Linked DNA regions of Diceros bicornis minor. The protein of the gene in region 1 purifies or fractionates together with the protein of each later gene. This does not show direct contact. Links are inferred from orthologs where the notes say so. Each region holds a gene or a part of one and is shown on either strand. Other genes may lie near its edges.

Region 1 (10,231 bases):
ACATCATCAGTCTTGGTACTGATTTCATCTCTCTATATACAGGAATTCAATAAAAGTTCTGATCTAGGATAAGCCACTGAAATGGTCTTTGATACTCAGTTTCTTCCTGGAAGTTTTATTTTTCTTTATCTAAGTCTTAGGAACACTGTGAATTCATTCCTTTATCCATACATATGGTTTCTTAATCTTTTAGGAGTCATTGACCCCTTTGGGAAGTTGATGGTGGATCCTCTCTCTGGAAAAATGCACTATATTTTGCATACACATCTGAGGGTTCATAGACCACTGAGAGGACATCATAGTTATCCCCCAGGTTATGAGCCCCTGCATTAAATATTTTAGTGCCTCCTGTGCTCTAGATGGTAAGGAAAAAAGGATGAGAGTGTAGAGTGTAGAGGAACACAACTTGGTAAGACTAGAGCAGTCAACACTTACAACCCAGGTGATAGGTGCTAAGAGAAGGGCAGTAGAGGGTACTGTGGGAACCCAGAATAGAGGAATTTAATCCAGACTGGGAATTAAGGAAAGATTCCTGGAAGAAGTGACATCTGCACTGAGAAATCCAACAAGCAGGACAAAGCAAGGTCAAGTAGAAGAATAGGGAAGAACTTTCCAGACAGAGGGAACAGTGTCCAGAAGGGAAAGAGCATGGCAAGTTCATGGAACACAAAACCGTTCAGAGCAGCTGTGCTCATCATCTGTCTGCTAGCTCTCGGCTCCACTCCTGCTTTTCTCTGTACTGCAGGGGCTGAGTCAGCAAATGACACTTCCCATATCCCTCTGCCAACTGGCTTCTGGCGAGGATCTGCCGATGGAAATCACCGGTGGGAGACTGGAGAAGCCATGTTCTCGGGCTGTTGGTAGCGTCTCCAGTCCTGGCAGCAGTAGCAGCCAGTGAGCGGGGTCTCCTGGGATCCAGCAGCAGTAGCGGCAGTGGCTGCAGTAGTGGCAGTAATGGCAGTGGGTCAGCCTGAGCAGCGCAGCAGTCCTCAGCGTTGGGAAACACCATTTCCCCTCCTGCTCCAGCCTAGAGTTCCAGGCAGTTCCTAACTTCTGGGTAACCTTGTCTTTTTTGCCCCTCCAGCCCTTTCAAGTTTTGAAACCCAGTTGCCTCTATTATATTGCTTCTATTTAAAATACCTAGAGTGGTTTCTGTTTTTCTGACTGGACACTGACTAATACAACAGTGAATCGAAAATATGGTGAGGGGTGGAGGAGGGTTGTGGTGACAGATTTGGTTGACTAGGTAATTGAGGGCCAGATCATTCAAGCTCATCTTAGGAAATGAACAGGTGTTTGGACTGTATCCGGAGAACAGTGGAGACCCATGAAAGATTTTAAAGACATGGTCAACTCAGTCACTATTGATTTTTTTTTGGTGAGGAAGATTGGCCGTGACCTAACATCTGTTGCCAATCTTCCTCTTTTTGCTGATGGAAGATTGTCCCTGAGCTAACATCTGTGCCCATCCTCCTCTATTTTGTATGTGGGATGCCGCCACAGCATGGCTTGATGAGTGCTGTAGGTCTGCGGCCGGAATCCAAACCCGTGAACTCCTGGCTGCCGAAGTGGAGCATGTGAACTTAACCACTATGCCACTGGGCCGGCCCACTCTTTTGATTTGTATGAAGATCACTTGGGCTGTAATACAGAGAACAGGTTTGAGATCGCTAAACTGAAGGCCAAGTGTCCCATGAGGAAGCTTCTGCAATTATCTGGGAGAGAATCCAATGGTTGTCTACACTAGGGTGGTGGCAGTGAGGTTGAAGAGAAGGGAGTGGAAGGAGTTTTATGAGGTGGAAAGGCTAGAATGTAATGGAGTGTTATGGCAGATCAAGGATGGCTACAAATTCACTGACACTCTTCCTGTTGACAGGCAGGTCCTGCCTGAGAGCTCCTCCTTTTGCATTTGGGTGTGCTCTGTAACTGCTTTGACAAATAGGATATGGCAAAAGGGACACTGTTCCAGTTTCTGGGCCCAGACATTAAGAGACCTGCGGCTTCCATTTCTTGTTTCTTGGAACTTGTGCTCTTGGAATACAGCTACGATACTTTGAGAACTGCAAGCCACATGGAGAGGCCACACATACATAGCTGCTCTGGCTGACAACCCCTGCTAAGCTGCCCGCCGACAGCCAGCATCGGCTGTTAGCCATGTGAGTGCACCATCTTGGATGTCCAGTCCAGGTCAGCCTTCAGATGACCCCAGCCACTGATTACAGCTGTGTCACAGACCCAAGTAATTCCCACGCATCTGAGCCCCTTCAACCCACAGAACCATAAGAGGTAATAATACATTGTTGTTTTAAGCCGCTAGGTTTTGTTGTTGTTTTTTTTTTAAGCCACTAAGTTCTAGGGTTGTTTGTTACACAGCAAAAGAAAACAGGAATAGACGTGGAAGGAGAGAAGGAAGGCAGAATCAAGGATGATATCTAGAATTCTGGTTGGGCCCGGGGTGGAGCCAGTCACTGCTGAGATGGGGACTGGGAGCAGATGAACACTGGGGGGGGGGTGGGGGGGTGGGTAAATGATCTATCATAAACTAGGGAAATATGTATTTTTGGAAATTCATTAAATTTTTTCTAGATATCCTATTATGTTTTATCTTCAGCATTAGCTATCTAGGTTTTAAAAAGGTTTATATTTTATAGATCCCTATCTTGAAGACCCTCTAAAATATAATTGTAGTATCTCCCGCTATAAGTAAAGCTGCACTTCTCAAAAGTATCAAGAGGAACTAGTACCTATTTTATCACATTTAGTCCTTGTTGATTGAGGCATCAACTTCCAGGTCTCTCATTCATTCATCAAGTATCTACTCGCCATCTGGCAGGCGCTCAGCACTGCTCTGGGTGTTAGGGGCACAGCTGTGCACACGACAGATAATATCCCTGCCCTCATGGAGTTTACTCTCTGATTGGCAGGCAGACAAAAAACAAGTAAAGAAAATAATTACCAATTTGATAAAAAGCAATGAAAAAAAAAGTAATAGGCGGCGTGCTGATAGAGAATAAAGGTTGAGAGGAACCTACTTTAGATGAGCTAGTCAGGGAAGATTTTTTAGCTGAAACTAAGGAAGTGGAAAGAACTAGCCGTGAGAAGAAGTGCAGGAGGGGAAGTGAGGTTGACTGATGGCTATGGGACCAACAAGAGGCCCTTGGGTGGTTAAGAGCTTGACCAGATTCTAGGAACTGAAAGACTAGTGTGTTTGGAGTGCAGCGAGCAAGAAGCAAGATGAAGTGGGAGACAGATGAGAGGCTAGATTAAACCATACTTTTTAGGCCATATTAAAAGATTTGCATTTTATTCTAAATGCAAAAGAGGTGGAAGCATGAACATGATCTGATTCACATTTTAAGAAGACAATGGTCAGAACAGACAGGAGGGGGAACACGGGTTGAGAAGCTGTTGCAGTGGTTCGGGACAGAGGAAGTGGCCTGGGCTAAGGTTCTCTCTAAATTTCTTTTCCTTGGACTCAGGTTCTTCCTTTGTAAAGTGCAGGTGGAGGCTTAGTAGAAACAGATCAGCAAACAGTTATTCCCAAGTGCCCAGGTATAATAAGACTCCCACTGGACTCTTGCTTTATAGAAGGATTTGAAATATTTTCAAGATTCATGGTGTTTTCCGCTCCTCTACACCAACCACCTACTTCCTCCAAACCTGTTTCACTCTATCAGAACTGGCATCTGTGGCCTTTGATACACTGAACCAATTGGTGGCTTTCAAGCCAGGTCACCACAAACAGTATTTGTTGTCTACCAAGTTCCTTGGCAACTGGAATAGGTGGGGTGGAAGATCCAAGAGCTGACACAATTTTGCTTGGACTCACCCTGTTGAAGATTACTCCAGTTGGTTTTTTAGGTTTTTTTTGGTCCTTCTGCTGGGCCATGGGACTTGTACTGCCAACAAAACTAAATTTCAGTGTAAGGGATCAGACTGAGGAGCCTTATTAGCCTTAAATTCAGTTCCCTTATCCAATGCCTTTAAGTTTCTCAGTAACTCTATCTGAATATTGATGAAATATCCTTCACTTAAAACATAGTAACATAAATCAGCTGATAGGCTTAAAAGCCTCTTCAACATTCAGATGCTGATGACAATAAGAGAAAAAGGCTCTTTATTGTTATTACTGATTTTTTTTAAAAAGGGTCAGTGTTTCATGTCAGTTCAAATATATAGGTAACCTGTAAAAGCAGCCCCAGAGAGATCCCTTGCCCCACAATGAAAAGACAATGAGAAACAGGAAGTGGGCCCTCACCAGACACACCTTGATCTTGTACCTCTAGCCTCCAGATCCGTGAGAAATAATTGTTTATAAGCATATATGGAGTGACTCCTGATTACCTGGAGAGGAAGAGCAGGACCTTAAGGCATCATCTGTTTAGCCAACCAAAAATTCAGTTACACCACTGTTATATAATTTGTTCAGTAGTGTAGTCAACTTTGCTCTTGATTTTTGTCTACTTATAAAAATGCTTTTGGTCACTAATATATATAAATCCAATTAAGGCTGTATGTAAATTTAAACTGCTTTCTTCTCCCTCCCCCTCAAAAAGGTCTATTCTCCAATATAACATACTTTCTTAAACTCTCTTTATGGGGCAAAGAAACGTTGCAAAAAATGTTTTCTCATTCTTTCCTGAATCTGAATGATTTAAATATGAAGGAAGTTCTGTCTACCAAGATTCACTTTGAATAGCTCTTATCCAGCTATATTTGAAAGTAAAGCTTGAAGGAAATACCGACTCTTTTGTTGGCTGATTATGCAGACCTATCTCAGGGTGAAAATACAGGTTGTCAACGCCTTTAGGAAGATCGCTTGTCTAGAAGGCCTCGCTATAGGGTCTGCTGTGAGAACACAAGCCTCTGCTTACCCCTGTCTCTTCACCCAAAGCTGGAGATTCCAATGAGAATCCTAAAAAAAAGGTGTGTGTGGCGGGATGGAAGTAGGGGTAGAGGGGATGGAAGGCCAAGGTTCTTCTACACGCATGGCCTAAACCTATTCGTATACTAGTTCTATAGCTGGTCTAAGTGACAGCTCGCAGTAGGCGCAGACCTGCTTGCAAATCCAATCTGGCCTTCCCCTTTCTTTATACCAAGGGTTACTTTTATTTTTTTTTAATTTTTTCTAAGGGTTACTTTTAAAAAGGAAGTTTTTTTTTTTCTTCTGAATTTCCTAAGGGTGCACATGGGGCAACGCACAAGCAAGAATGACACAGGGCGGGAAGTGAGATAAAACGTATGTGATTTCTGAACTCCTTAAAATACGCTGGGTCCTTTTTCCTTCGGAAAAGGGAGGCAGGACAGAAAGAACAAAACAAGTTGCAAACGAGACCAGGCGCCGCAGGAGCGCCGGGGGGTCTGAGCCCGCCGTGGGCCGCAGCGGGAGTCGGGCCGCCGGACGTGGGCTCCAGCCCGGCGGGCGGAACCCGGGGCGGCCGCCCGCCTTCCCCGCGCCCGCCTAGAACCCCGCGCGGCCGGTTCCGGCGCACGTGGCCGCCGCAGGCTCAAAGTCCAAGGGCAGCGGCAGGGCGCGGGCCTGGGGCGCGCCCCGGCTCCTGCACGGCGGCGGCACTAACGAACCGGACAGCCGCTCTCCGGCCGAGGGCACGCCCCCTCCGGCCCTCCAGGGTCCGCACACGACCGCCTCCGCCTCCCACCACGGTGGCAGGAGGCCGGGCGGGGAACCGGAATCCACCGGCAGGCATCCTGCCCTTTTCTCGCGAGAGGTGGGAACGGAAGAAGGTTGGGCGGGCGACGGGACGTAGCCAATGAGAGCGCGGGAAGGGCGTGATCGACGGCCCTCCAGCGCCTCCTCTAGGCCCCGCCCCGGCTGCGGAGGCCCGGGTCGCCGCCCGCTCTCCCTCCCCTCCCCACCTTCCCTCCCCTCCGTGCCCCGCTCTTCTCTTCCCGTCTGAGGTGGCGGCCGGCCTCCGTCCTCTCCAGCTCCGTATACCTCTCCTCCCGGCTGCCCTCTTCCTCGGCCCGAGGCCGCCGGAGCGCTTCCCCGCCCCGCCAGGGTGGCCGCATAACCCCTGCCCCTAGAATCCTGCGCCGCCTCTGCGCTCCCGTCCTCGCCCTGCCCCGCCATGAATGAGGAGTACGACGTGATCGTGCTGGGCACCGGCCTGACGGTGAGCTCCGCGCGGCGGCGCGGCCGGGGGCCGGGGGCGGGCCGGGGGCCGGGGGGCGGGAGGCCGGGGCTCAGCCCCCTCCCCAGCCCCGTCGCTCCCGCCGCGGGAGGCGAGGCCCACCCCGCCAGACCGCGCGGAACGGCCTGCGCGCGTCGGCCCCGAGCCTCGGCCTGGCCGCGGGGGGCGTCCTCCGTCGAGGTTTCGGGGGCTGAACTTCGCGGGGGTCGGGAGCTGGAGTGGGCCTGCGCGGGGGCTCGCGGCCGCGCAGGGGCGGGTCGGCCGGTGGAGTGGGTCGTCTCTGAGTGCGGAAGGGGGCGCCAGGAGATGGAAGACGCGGTCCCGTGGGTGCCCTGATGGGTGGTCACGGCGAAATACAGGTGGGGGGAACAGCGGAGTGTCGCTGTGCTGCAGAAGGCACCGTAGAAGCCCGGATCGGGGTGTTGATGCCCCTCCACCTCCCTCACGGGTGGATGGCCTCTCCGGATTGGAAACGGAAAAGCGCCAGGCAGAGTGGGGGAGGGTGGAAGCCACTCACAGTTGCATTTCCTGCTTAGCCTGCAGCCACTACTACCACTCAGCTCTGGCTGCCAGAACGAGGCGCAAGGCTTTGTGACAAGTCTTTGGATAATCACTGTTTTGTAATTGTCAGAGTTCAGTTAACTTAAGTTTTTGGAGAAAAGTAGTTTTCCTATCCCCACTCCAGTTGAGAAGCATTGTCCATTCCTTGTAACCACCCTCCTATCCCACTTAACGGAGCATCTGTAGAATTGGAAATGAGTTTTCTCAAAACTTGTCTATCAAACCCTTTCTCACCTGACTTTTGCCACGTTTTCCTTTTGTTTGGTCTGTTCCCTGACTCCATTGTCTCTTCTGGATGCTTTCCCTTAAGACATGGGTTGGTGATGGATTGCCAGAGGCCAAGTTCTCCACTACTATCCTCTTCAGGGAGTTAGGAGATCAATCAGTACCAACATAAAAAATGCAGTTGTCATGTGAATGCAAGGTGTTGCTAATACCATGGCAAACTTAATTTCCTGGGTATCTGTCTGTCTAGAGACCTTTAGATAATCTGCAAATAATGCAGGCAGGTGTTGTATCTTGTAGTACTTCTTTTTGTCCTTTTTTAAGAAAATGAATACTATTCATCTTGCAAAAGGATTCCATTTGAAGAGAAGACCATTTTCATTATTAGAATTTTTTGGAAATTTGAAATTCTGACTTTGGGCTGCTTTGTCTTAAGATGAACGCTGATGTAAATATTGTGTATCCTGTATAATCTGATCCCAAAGTTCTGGGTCATTTAATGTAAATCGCTGCTTCAGGGTTGTTGAAATGCACTGTAATCTCTCAGGATCAAATTAATATTTTTTTCAGGTAACACTCCAAAATAACTATTTTAGATTTCTCTAGACAAGAGAAAACGTTTTAACTTTAATTTGGCTAATTTTTTAGGAAAAGGTTGTTAGGAACTAGAATGGCACTTTTCTGGCCTGTCATTTTTCTGTTTATAGTGATTTATGGTGATTGTTGGAGAATACTCATTTCTGAATGCTTCATTATATTTGACCGGTCCAGAGATAGACATGTGCCTGCCTAGGAAATAGTACCAAATAGATGAGATTACTTACCTAGAAAGCTATTTAGTCATTTTGAATGTGAGATATTGGGTTGAATTTCCTTTTTGGTGGTGATTTGGAAGACTGTTGGATGCCTAAATGAATTGGCCTACCCACTGCAGGGTTGTCTTTTTAGTTTTTAAAATGCCTAATTGGGATTCTGAGCTGAGCTTAGTTTGTGATGGATTTTGCTCACTGGAATGGGCACTGTTGCTGCCCGCATGTTGTAAGAGCCAGTGAGTTCCACTGTTTTTCTACGGTTAGTGCTGGTCTTTCAGATTTGCTCTTGGTTAGGTCAGTTGAGCGTGGACAAATGAGTGCAAATCCATCATCACGCAGGTTTCTACCTGCCTAGTTCAGAAGCATCACATTGTAGCAAAGACAGCACAGTCTTGTATAACAACCAAGTTCAGATAATGCACTTTATTTAAATTTTCATTAGGATTAATTAATTGGATTCATTTGGATTTTTGGTGAGTGGTAGACGCATACCTAACTAGAAATCAGACCAATTTTTGCTATCATATTATAGCTGTGATAACTTTAATACCTATGAGCCTTCATAGATTGTTTTGTGACATATTTTTTGAGAATTATATCAATTCAGAGCAATCACATTATTACCATCATTGATAGGAATAGTGGTGACGGGATGATTTTGATAATGATGAATCTTGTACCCTCATTTTTAGTGACACAAGGACTTTGATTACTTAAAGTTAAATGAAGAGACCACCAAAGTTTAAAACCCTCAAGTTAGAATTAACTTTGAGTATTTAGAGTGAACATATTTAATTTTCCTAGTTTTTTTTTTTTTTTTTTTTTTATGAGGAAGATCCGCCCTGGGCTAACGTCTGCCAATCCTCCTCTTTTTGCTGAGGAAGACTGGCCCTGGGCTAACATCCATGCCCATCTTCCTCCACTTTATATGGGACACCGCCACAGCATGGCTTGCCAAGTGGTGCATGGGTGCGCGCCTGGGATCCGAACCTGTGAACCCTGGGCCGCCGCAGCGGAGCGCGCGCACTTAACTGCTTGCACCACCCTGCTGGCCCCTAATTTTCTTAGTTTTTGGTTTATAAATATATAGTGCCTGAGATTTAAGAACCTGAAAACAGGCGTATGCTATCAGTTATGGGTACCAAATATTATGTGATGCCAGTGTGTCAAGTACTTTAGTACGATTAACTTGTTACTTTTAAAATAAAGTGGAAGGATGTGTTGGAGTTTCTCTGTGTTGCCTAGTGTTGTCCTTGTTTGCATTGATAGTTACATCTAAAATAAGGTCAGGTTAATCCACAAATATTGATAGTAACTTTAATAAAGAAGATTTGGTAAAAACTAGAGCAAAATCTTCTTTCTCTGGGAGAAATAGGATATTCCATATAATTGAATTTTCTAAGCAATTGAGGGTTATCGCTTTAAAGAACCAAAACTTTTAATTTAATTTTATTTATTTTTTCCCCCAAAGCCCCAGTAGATAGTTGTATGTCACAGCTGCACATCTTTCTAGTTGCTGTATGTGGGACGCAGCCTCAGCATGGCTGGAGAAGCGGTGCGTCGGTGTGCGCCCGGGATGGGAACCCGGGCTGCCAGTAGCGGAGCACGCGCACTTAACCGCTAAGCCACGGGGCCTGCCCTAGAACCAAAACTTTTAGATAAGAGCCTTTCCAAATGATACCACAACTTTAACAAACTAAGGAACATAATTAATTAACTTGATAACTAAAGATTTCGCATCATGAGGGTTAATTATTGTGTTATGCTGTATCGTGAAGCCATTGGGACCTGGTGAGCTTTGTAGGAACTTTGGCCCGCCTTACTAAATAGTCTCAGATTGCTCAGCCTTGTGAGTTCTACAGTCTGCTTTTCATTCCACCCCGGCTCGCTTACTTTGCTATTAGGCTGGCGACTTTTACTTTCTTTCAGCATGTATAGACAGCCTCTGAGCACCCAATTTTCTACTTTTTTTTTTTTTTTTGTGGGGAAGATCAGCCCTGAGCTAACATCCATGCTAATCCTCCTCTTTTTGCTGAGGAAGACCGTCTCTGAGCTAACATCTGTTGCCAATCCTCCTCCTTTTTTTCCCCCAAAGCCGCAGTAGATGGTTGTATGTCATAGTTGCACATCCTTCTAGTTGCTGTATGTGGGACGCGGCCTCAGCATGGCCGGAGAAGCGGTGCGTCAGTGCGCCCCCGGGATCCGAACCCGGGCTGCCAGTAGCGGAGCTCGCGCACTTAACCGCTAAGCCACGGGGCGGCCCCTAATTTGCTACTTCTGATTGACTTTGGGCTTGGCAATAAATTCATGAATCTTCTTAGAAATAGTCTATAAAGTAAGAGTAACTAACTCCACAGGTATTTGTGCTTCCCAGAGGTATTTGTTTTGTTCTATTTAGTAATTCTGGTAAGGAGTTATAAAGAGAAGTGTACACTATAGTGATATTTAACCAGATTGTTCTCAGCATTTTATGTTTAAAAA
Region 2 (10,052 bases), on another chromosome or scaffold:
TACCCGTATGTAAATTTCAGCCACGTTGCATTTACTTGGGTTTGACTACATTGCTATGGACACACAAACACAATAACACAGTAATGCCTGGAATTTAAACAGCCATTCCCAGAAACTCTAAAGGAAAGATGGGTTACAGGATTATATTTTTCTACCAAAGGCTAATTGACTGGCACTAGGAGGAAAATGTATTAAGTCACCCATAACTAGGATTAATATCTTATGTTTGTGTAGCACTTCATAAGTTCTAAAGCACTTCCCATTTGTTCCTCATAATAACCCCTATACCACACATTGGTATTGTTATCCCCATTTGACAGATGGGGAAACTGAGGCCTAGAAAGGTTAAATGGCTTACTTTGGTGGCAAAACTGGGGCTTAAATCCAGGTGTTCTGACTCTAGGATTGTCAGATTTATTAGCAAATTAAAATTAAATTTAGCAAATTAAAATACAGAACACCCAGTTAAATCTGAAAGGGAATGAATAAATTTTTGATATATCATGCAATATTTTGGGAAATACTTATGCTAAAAACTTCTCTCTTGTTTATCTGAAATTCAAATTTGTATTTTATCTTGCAACCCTATCCAAATCCCTGATTTGGTACTTGATCTCTATTATTCTATGGTACTCTGCTATAATTAAAATGCAAAGTACCTTCTCTGCTATGACTTTAATTCTGACAGTTGGGAGTTTAGAAACCTTTTTTTTTTTTTTTAATAAAGATGCTTATTAATTTATTTTTCCCCACTCTTAATCCTCACCAGAAAAACTTGCCCAGGCCAAAGAAGAGAACGTGGGCTTACATCAGACACTGGATCAGACACTAAATGAACTTAACTGTATATAACCAAGACAGAAGAGTCTTATTCCAACAGAAACTCCAGAGCTCCGTGTCTTTCTCTTCTCTTGTAAAAAGTTTGTTATTGCATCTTTGCTTTGCTGGAAATGTCAAGCAAATTATGAATACATGACCAAATATTTTGTATCAGAGAAGCTTTGAGCACCACTTAAATCTAATTCCTTCCTTTTTTTCAAATGGCACCAGCTTTTTCAGCTCCATTTTTATCCTTAAGTTGCATTTATTCCTAAGGTAGGCAGGGTATTTCGTATTGAGCATACTCTTAAGACTGAGGGCATTTGGTTCCTGGGAGAATAGACAACCCCACACTTTCAGAACACAGACTCCAATATCTAGTCATGGGTCAATTTAAAAGGCTGAAGGATGTAACCTTCTGTACCAGCATTGGTCACACTACAGGAAGCAAGGGACCATCACATTAAAATGGGTGGGGAGTTTCCATCCAGAGCAAAAACAAAAAAACCGGGGGGGGGCTATTGTGGGAAGTCATAAAGCACAGATAGATTAACCTAATCATCTTCTTTTCCACACTCCACTGTGCAGAACAAACATCCTCTGAGCAGTCAGCACGAGAATGCTCAGGAAATGGTCATAATTACCCCAGTATTTTCTGGATAGATCTTTGATGTTATGCTGTTTTATGTGTTTTATTCTAAAGTTGTTCTGAGGAGCAGATGTCTAACTCCAATAATGACCCATGCTTGTCTGCTCTGATATGAGGCCATCCACTCAGCAGGAATGAATATGGTAGAATTCAGTCCTATTCAGAGAAGCCATATCAAAAAGACTGCTAGCCATCAATAATTGAGCAAGAGTGTTTTTCTGTTAACAAATACTGGGCAGAAGTAGAGAATAAAAAAAAACTGGCCTAACTTCATCTCCTCTATACTTAAGGGAATGACAAATTGAAGATTTACTTATCTAGGACTTTAATTCCTTCTTTAGGACCAAGTTAATAAAAGACCAAGAAGCTCCTGATTAAACTGGATATGGAGTATTTTGTAGACAGGGGTGCACATTTTGGCTTTGTTATATTTCTGCTTTCTCAGTTAACATCTCAGAGCTGAAACATTCCACATTCCCCAGCAATGTGGGGGCCAACTCAAGTTTACAATTCTGACTAAAAATCACCCTGCTTCTAGCTTATCCAAATCCTCTGCCCCTCACTCCTATTTATTAAGCATCACACTACCCAGGAGGTACACTAGCAAACTGTGCAACTGAATAAAACCCACACTTTTCATTTAGATTCTTGCAACTGTATCATATGTAATAGTATCACTTTTTCTACATTTTGGTCAAATAAATTTTTACATAAACTACAATTTGTGTGAATTTTGGAGTGTGGGGACATACACACCATTTTGGTTCAATGAATGTTAATGGGATGGAAAGGACAGATAACTGCCAAGAACTTAGCAAATGTTATTTATTTGCTTTATACCATGACTTCAAGATATAAGGATTATGATCTCTATGTTACAGGTGAGAGCACTTTGTCTCAGTAACTCAAAAGCTCCTGTTATCCCCAATCTTGCCTGGGCCAGGCTGTGCAGAGTAAGATTTTAATAGATGAGACAGGGGCAGGAAAGATGGTCCCTGTTGAGTCCATAAAGCACAAGGCCTGCCTGGGTAAGGTCTTCTGTATGTTGCATATAAAAAGGAAAGCAGTAGGAAAGCTGAAAGGTAGGCTGCATCTATAATGATGCGGGCCTGAACTTGACTGCGTTAGAAGTGGAGAGCCACTGAAGACTAATCAATAAATCAAAGAAATACATTAGGAAAATCCACTTAGCATTTTCAGGAAGGACTAGAGTAGGGGCAGACTAGAGGTTGGAAGACCAGTTAGGAAGATGTTTCAATTAATCAGGATAGTGCTTGCCATAGAATAAGAAGGAAGAAGTGATCTGAAGGAAGTAATCTTAAAACTTAGCTGACTGGATGGCAGGGAACTTAAAGAAGCAAGTGTCAAAGCGGACTGCAGTTTCACTACCTGAATTGCTTTGATATTTGCCTCAGGATCTGATCTTGGGGAAGGGGGACAGGGAATCAAAAAGAAACGAAAGCCTTTAAAACATTAGTGTAGTATGCAAGCAATTTTTTGTTACCAACTACAATTAAAAACATTTCCTTCATATTTCCTTCATACTCAACACTTGGCTGACACTGTTGAGCTGGCAGATGCAGGGAACGTCAATGAATAAGGTGTAACCCCTCCCGAGTGCCCTACCATGACTAGATTGAAGTTCCTTCTCTCCCTCCTCCGCACCCCCCGGACGGTAGTCTAATCTCAGGATACCGTTTGTCACCCTCGTGCCTCACTCCTTAACGTGTGCTCCGTGCCTGTTGACCTGGCCTCGGCTCTTGCGGCGTTCGCAACGCCGTGAGGTGAGGTGGAGCGCAGCGGGCGGCGAGCGCCCGGTGGTGCGGACTTGGTGCTGCCACCAGGCCGCGGATGGGTCCTGGGTGCGTGTTTTAGAACGGCCACACTGCAGGGTGGAATCTGGATTAAAGAATGATCCGGATTAGGGAGACCAGTGGAGAGAGGCGACCACTGATGGGAAACGGAAATACAAGACCCGGATTCGAGAGCTATTCAGAACCTCCTTCAGACCCAGGATGTGAGGGACGAAAGGAAGCGTCCAGGACGACTCAGGATTCGCTCCGAAGCTACCTCAGGACAAGCTGGAGCGCGCAGGAGAGGACAAGTTCCGTCGCGGACATGCTGACAAACCCAAAGGCAGACGCCCAGAGGGCAGGGGGTGACGAGGCTGCGTCGCGTCCTCCGGGGACCGGCACTCACAGCGAGACGCCGAAGCCACGCCGAGAGCGGGCACGCACGTCCGCACAGCCCAGCAGAGGAGGGCCGCCAGCTAGGCACGAGCGGAGAGCCCGACCGCCTCGGCGGCACCTGAGGAGCAGCCCCAGGCCAGGGGGCGGGGAAGCCGGCCGGTAAGACGCGAGGGCACCAGCAGAGAGGGTGCCGGCCGCGCGGCCCGCAGTCCGAGGACCACCGGAGCCGGAGGGGCGCAAGGGGCACGGCGGCGGCCGGGCCGTCCTGCGGACACCCCCGTGACCCACGGCGGCGCGGCCACAGCCCATCCCCGAGAAGCGGGAAGCCGTGGTGGTCGAGCCCGCGGCCGCCGGCTCGTCGGCCTGAGTTCAGAAGCCGGCTTCCCCCTTGCGGGGCCGGGGAAGGCCCGCGCCTGCCGGCCCGGCTTTCTCCCCACACACCCGGGCGGCACCTCCCGCCTCGGGGCCGGGCGCGGAGGAAACGCCCGCGCGTGCGCTGTGAGGGCGACAGCGCCGGCGGCCCGGAGCCGACGCTCACAAGCGCGACCTGACTCCCTCGCGGGCTCCCAGCCCCGGCCCTCAGGCGGCTGACCGGGCGGCGGCGGGCGAGGCCCGGGAGACAGGAGGCCGAGAGAGGCCCGGACAGCCGCTAATGCAGTCAAGGCGCGTCCTTAGGAGCCCTGCGCACCTCCGGGCGCAGCTCGCGGCGGTGAGGCCGCTCAGGCGGTGGAGGCCCGGCTATCTCGGAGTAGGTCGCCTGGCCAGCGCCGAAATGGCAGAGCACGTCTCGGGGAGTCCTCGCTTCGACTCTGACGAGCGTCCGTACGTTCCTCTGCTCTTTGGCTCCCAGCGGCCTGACGCGGAGGGCCGCAAAGCACAGATTACAGCCGCCGTCTCTTCCCGCGCTCGTCCCGTCGCCTACTGAGACTGCGCGGGCCGTGAGGGCGGGAGCCAGAGACCCATGCGCGTGCGCCCTCTGCTGGCGCCTAACGATCTCCTCAGCGCGCGTGCGCACGCGCCCCAGGCCCCGCCCGTGGGCTGCGAGCGCGCGGAGCCGTTGGCGACGCACCCCCCACCCCTCCCGTCAGGGGACGGGGCGGGGCCGCCCAGAGTCCGGGAGGCGGGGACACGGGGGTGCCACGGCCCCGCCCTGATCCCCATTTGAAGCCCCTCGACTCGTCACCGCTGGCCAATCGCAGCCCGCCCTGTACCGAGCGCCAGCCAATGAGCGGCGTGCTCGGGCCGCTTCCGGCCCCGCGCCCCAGTCGCCCCTTCCCCAGCTCTGCTGGCGACGGGCGGGGCGCGGGGGCGGGCGTCAGCCGCAGTGACGCGCGACGGGCCGGGAGCCAATGGGGGGCGGGCTCCGCGCTGATGGACGGGGCCAGCGGCCAGTGGCCAGGCACTGGCCGCACTTCCCGTTGGGGAGAGAGTGTAATATGGCGAAGACCTACGATTACCTCTTCAAGCTGCTGCTGATCGGGGACTCGGGGGTGGGGAAGACCTGTGTCCTGTTCCGCTTCTCCGAGGACGCCTTCAACTCCACCTTCATCTCCACCATAGGTAGCGGGGCCGGCGAGCGGCCGGGCGCGCCCCTGACGGGCTGGGGTTGAGGGAGCGGCCGGGCCGGACTGACTGAGGGCTCTGAGAGGGTCGAGGGGGCCGGCGGGGAGAAGAGTGGCGCCTCCACCGCCGTTCGGGGGTTCCCGGGCCATGGGGAGGGCCGGGTGTCCATTTAGAGAGGCTGAGGCCTCGACCCCCAGCCCGCTTGTCTGGGAGCGTATGTCCTGGGCTGGGGTCTTGGCGCCCGTCATCTCCTGTCGTCGCAGAGGCCCTCGAAGCGGTTCTTTGGGGTCTTAACAGAAGTGGAAACTGAGGCGCGGAGAGTTGGCCATGGGAAAAGGACCGTGACATCTGACTTTGTCGAGCATTTATTGTCTGCATATCACACTCTCCAGGCCTCTGTGTTAGCTGCTGTTAGGAGCCCATCTCACGGAGGAGGAGTTTGAGGCTCGGGGAGGGCACGGGACTCGCCCAAGGTCACACAGTGTGCAGGTGACAAGGATGAGATTTGAACCCAGGTGTGTCTGACCCCAAAACTCAAGGTTCAACCATCCCAGAGAGATGCGAGCACTCACCCCCAGGTCAAGCACAGCTGATCCCCCTCGGAGCCAGGACTCCAACCTAGACTTCCCCTGCTCTTTCCTCTGGAATATTCAGGAGTTGAGCCCCTCCCCCTGACTCTGTTTCCCCTGTGGCTGAATTTCCTCTAGAAGGAATGGTGAGAGGGAGTCCTGACCCTTTTCCTGCCCAGCCTTCTGACCCAGTCAAGGTGACAGCAATGGCAAGTGACAGCTGCCTGCCCGTCATCCCCAAGGAGATGCCGGATTAAAGCTTCAGGGAGAAACTAAAATCAGCCAGTGCCACAGACAACCCTGACTTCCCTATCTCGAGGCCCAGGACACCGGTTGTCACTTTGCAGAACAGCCTTTCCCGCAGGGCCAGCCCACATTGTGGTTGAACAGAATTGGCTTACCACTCCTTGGTTCTGACGTCCACAAAAGTGGAGCTGACTTCGCCCCCTGCCACAAAAACTGCCACTGCCTACTTGGAAAGGTTTGATCTGGGGGTAACATCAGTCACAGAGTGGCCTGTGAGCCTCACTCTGGAGTGGGGAAGTGAGACAATGGTCGCCAAGCTCAGGAGTTGATCTCAAATGGAGAAAACCTAGGGAAGGGGCTTTGCTTTACCCCCGTGTAACTTGAACCCAATCGCCTTATCTCCCTGAACCCCACGATGAGCTGCTGATTCCGTCTTTGCTCTCCTCCGGAAGCGCACTTTGCAAAACACTTAGGTGCCAAATGCTGAGAAAATTAGACTGGAAATCATCATGCCTGATTTCCAGCCACCACTTGCCGTTGAACAAGCACTTGACTTCTCTGAGCCCTGTTTCTTTGGTTTAAGTGTGGTGCTTTCTGCCTTGACCAGTGCTCTGGATGGTTGAGGATCAGAACTGTACAATGACTAGGGGCTTTGTCACCACTGCCAGAGGCTGTCTAGAGGAAGCAGAATGGCTCCTGTAATGACAGCAGCCCTCCCCTGGGCACAGGTGTTTCAAATTCCTCCCCTTCCCCCACTCCAAGGTCAAACTTTGGGATAACCTTTGCATCCCCACCAGTCAAGAAGATGTTAACTCCTGGCAGGTTGTGGCTCTCTCCCAACCCAGACCTCAGTTTCCCGGCGTCGGAAATTTCTTGCTCAGCAAGAGCATTAGTGAGATCAATTTGGGAGTTGGGGTTTTTCTTTGGTTTCAAATTCTTGACCAGAAAACCCAGTCTAGCGCTTTAGGGCTCCAAGGAAGCTGGCTTCCATTTGCAGGCGAAGACGTGACTTGGGCGAGGTCGCATAGGGAGGTGAAGGTGAACTTGACCCAGGATTCTTCTCATTAGATATGTAGCTTCCTGCAGGCCTCTGTCTTCTAGGAAAGTTTAAATCACTCAGACCTTGAAGTTATGGCCTCATAATTCTTAGGCCCCATAAAATTTATACTTCCTAATTAAATTTGGTGTGTTAATATAACCCAGGAGGAGGATAGGGCAGAGTGATGCCGTGGAGCTCTGCCAATTGAACAGTACTTCTTGATTTCGTATGTCTCTGTGCATCTGTGACAGGAGGTGGGTAAAGAGACCACACTGGGCCGCTTAGTCCTGAAATACAACTTAATGCATAAAGGCGATTCTCTGTTGGCACTGAGTGTACCTCCAGGTTTTCTTTATAGATTTGGGATTAAGTGCCTGTTCATTTTCTGCCCAGGTTTCATTTTGCCAAAGCCTGTTCTCATAAGCTGCATTGATCATTAGTGGTGTGAACTTGGCCCTGTGGCTCCCTGGAATTGGTTCTGCCTAGCCTGGCTCTGCCCCCACTGCCCCTCAGGGCCTCATTTATTCATTCCTTAAGGAGATGGATGATGTAAACTGTGCGGCACCACGAAGACCCCGATGCACTTAATTCTTTCATTCAGCTGTCTTTCCCCAACGCCTCCTGCGAACCAGGCATCCGCCTCCGTGCGGGGGTTGCAGAGATGACTCGGATAAATCAGAGGGAAGCAGAAATGTAATGAGGTCTGTGCTCAAGGTGTGTGTGCAGGGCGATTGGCTTCTAGCAAATGTGTATTCAGCCCCTGCCCATGCTTAGTCATTGGAGATGCTGCCCAGAGTAAGAAGTGGGAGTCCCTGCCCTCGAGGAGCTTATTTCTAGTGGGCAGAATCCAAGTGCAGGCTTATGTTCCCTGTGGTCCCCAGGACAGCTCCTAGGTGGGCAGGGCTGGAATTAGCATCTCCATCATGGCCTGAGCCTCAAGTCAGAGATTGAGAACAAACTCCCCATGCCAAAGGCTAGGTTTGGCTATTTCCCCTCCACGCAGGCCATTCGCATCATTCCCCTCCACGCAGGCCATTCGCATCAGCAAGTTTTACTCTTGGGTTCATGGAGCAAAGAAACAAATATACGATGTCGGGGATAAGTGCATGAAGAAGAAAAAGCAAGTGAGGGGAGAGAGAATGCAGATGGTCAGGAAGGCTCCCCTGAGGAGGCAACTTGAACAGAGACCTGAGTGAAGGGAGTGGGGAGCCAGGTGGCCATGGAAAGAAAGAACATTCCAAGAGAGAAGAGAGAGCAAGCGTAAAAGCCCTGAGGCCAGAATGGGTTTGGGATCTTTAGGAATCAGCTATGAGGGGGGCATGAGCCATGGGTGCTGAGAGGTGACCAGGTTAGGCAGGACCTTGGAGCACACTGGCAACTATTTTCACTGTATTTGGGGGCCGAGGAGGCAGTGGGAAGCCACTGGAAGGTGTTTTGGGGTTTTTTGATAGTTATATTGAGATATAATTCACCTACCATACAACTCACCTACTTAAAGTGTACAATTTGGTATATTCACAGAGTTGTACAATTATCACCACAGTCAATTCTAGAACATTTTCATTATTCCAAAAAGAAACCCCAAACTCTGTAGTCACCCCGCCTGCCAATCTCCCCATTCCCTCCACAGCCCCTGGCAACCACTAATCTCCTTTCTGTCTCTCTGGATTTGCCTGTTCTAGACATTTCATATGAGTGGAATCATACAGTATGTGGTCTTTTGTGTCTGGTTTCTCTCACTGAGCACAATGTTTTTGAGGTTCATCCATGTTGTAGCGTGTGTCAGAGCTTCATTCCGTTTTATGGCTGAGTAATATTCCCTTGTATGGATATACCACATTTTGTTTAACCACATTTTGTTTATCTATTGGTCTGTTGGTGAACACACTGGAAGGTTTGGAGCAGGGGTTAGCTTTGTAACATGGTTGAATTTGTGTTTTTGAAAGCTGGGGAGGTGACTGAGGGGGCAACAGTGGGAGCCTGGAGAGCAGCCAAGGAGGCCAAGAGGTCGCCCTCATCCTGAGGAAAGGGAACTAAAGCCCGTGGGTGGGAGAGAAGGAGGGCAGGATCAGGAAGGCTTCTTGGGGGCTGACCTTCTAGCAGATCTTAAAGGAGAAGGGGAAGTTTGCCAGGCTGATGGGCGGGTGGAGTGGGGCCCCTGGCAGAGAAGGACCAGCATGTGTGAAAACTGGAGACCCATGTGTATCATAGTGCATTGAGGGGCCCAGTGCACCGTGTGCTTGGAGGGCCAGGTGCAGGGTGGCGGGAATCGTGGGTCTGTGACCTGCCAAGGGCTCTGTTGGGCCCACTCGGCAAGCTACCTGTGGGGGAGGGAAGAGAGCAAGGCTTTGGCACCTGAGCTGCTCAGGTTTGCCCAGCAGCTCTGCCAGCTGCCAGCTTCGCTCTGAGAAGCTCCTGTCCCCCTTGGAGCCTCAGCTTCCCCTTCCATGAGGGGAGCAAGTTCTGCAGCTGCCTCCACATTCGTTGTGGGGATTCCGAGATTCCACGCGCACATCACCGGGTAGGTGCTCCCTAAGCCGTGGCTGCTGTTCCCTGCACAGGTTGGCAGTGCCTGCCTCAGAGGCAGCTTGGGAAATGGGCTGACAGTAATGTGCCTCTTTTTTCTTTTCTTTAAGGAATTGACTTTAAAATTAGGACCATAGAGCTCGATGGCAAGAGAATTAAACTGCAGATATGGTAAGAGTCGCTGTCTTCATCAGCCCCTTCGCCTGGCAAGCACTTCAAGTCAGAAGCCCCTGGTGCCCCCTCCCCCTGCCCTGTGACCATGGCCTCCATCTCTTTGTGCCCAGCCAGACACATCAGGCTTTCTTCAGAAGCCCCAGGAGCTGTACTCTTCTGGTTGCTGGGGCCCAGAGTCTGTTCCAGCACCTTCTGGGGACATAGCTACAATCCCGCTTAGCTCAGCATTCTGATGTGGGCACAGCCTGGGCTTCAGAGCAGCCTGCCTCCATTGAACT

The links.
Region 2: the proteins of GDI2 (region 1) and RAB8A purify together in Homo sapiens (co-immunoprecipitation; 5 studies listed by BioGRID and IntAct, with this or other methods). This does not show direct contact. The link is inferred for Diceros bicornis minor from reciprocal best matches to the Homo sapiens genes GDI2 and RAB8A.

What each region holds. Positions count from the first base shown.
Region 1 is NC_080775.1:7,006,847-7,017,077, reverse strand, and holds the start of GDI2 (rab GDP dissociation inhibitor beta), read left to right. Parts: upstream 1-5,875; 5' UTR 5,876-6,089; coding exon 6,090-6,134; intron 6,135-10,231. UniProt on the Homo sapiens protein: GDP-dissociation inhibitor preventing the GDP to GTP exchange of most Rab proteins. By keeping these small GTPases in their inactive GDP-bound form regulates intracellular membrane trafficking.
Region 2 is NC_080759.1:4,349,755-4,359,806, forward strand, and holds the start of RAB8A (ras-related protein Rab-8A), read left to right. Parts: upstream 1-5,058; 5' UTR 5,059-5,093; coding exon 5,094-5,217; intron 5,218-9,710; coding exon 9,711-9,771; intron 9,772-10,052. Other genes in the region: TPM4 (tropomyosin alpha-4 chain), read left to right, coding at 770-852. UniProt on the Homo sapiens protein: The small GTPases Rab are key regulators of intracellular membrane trafficking, from the formation of transport vesicles to their fusion with membranes.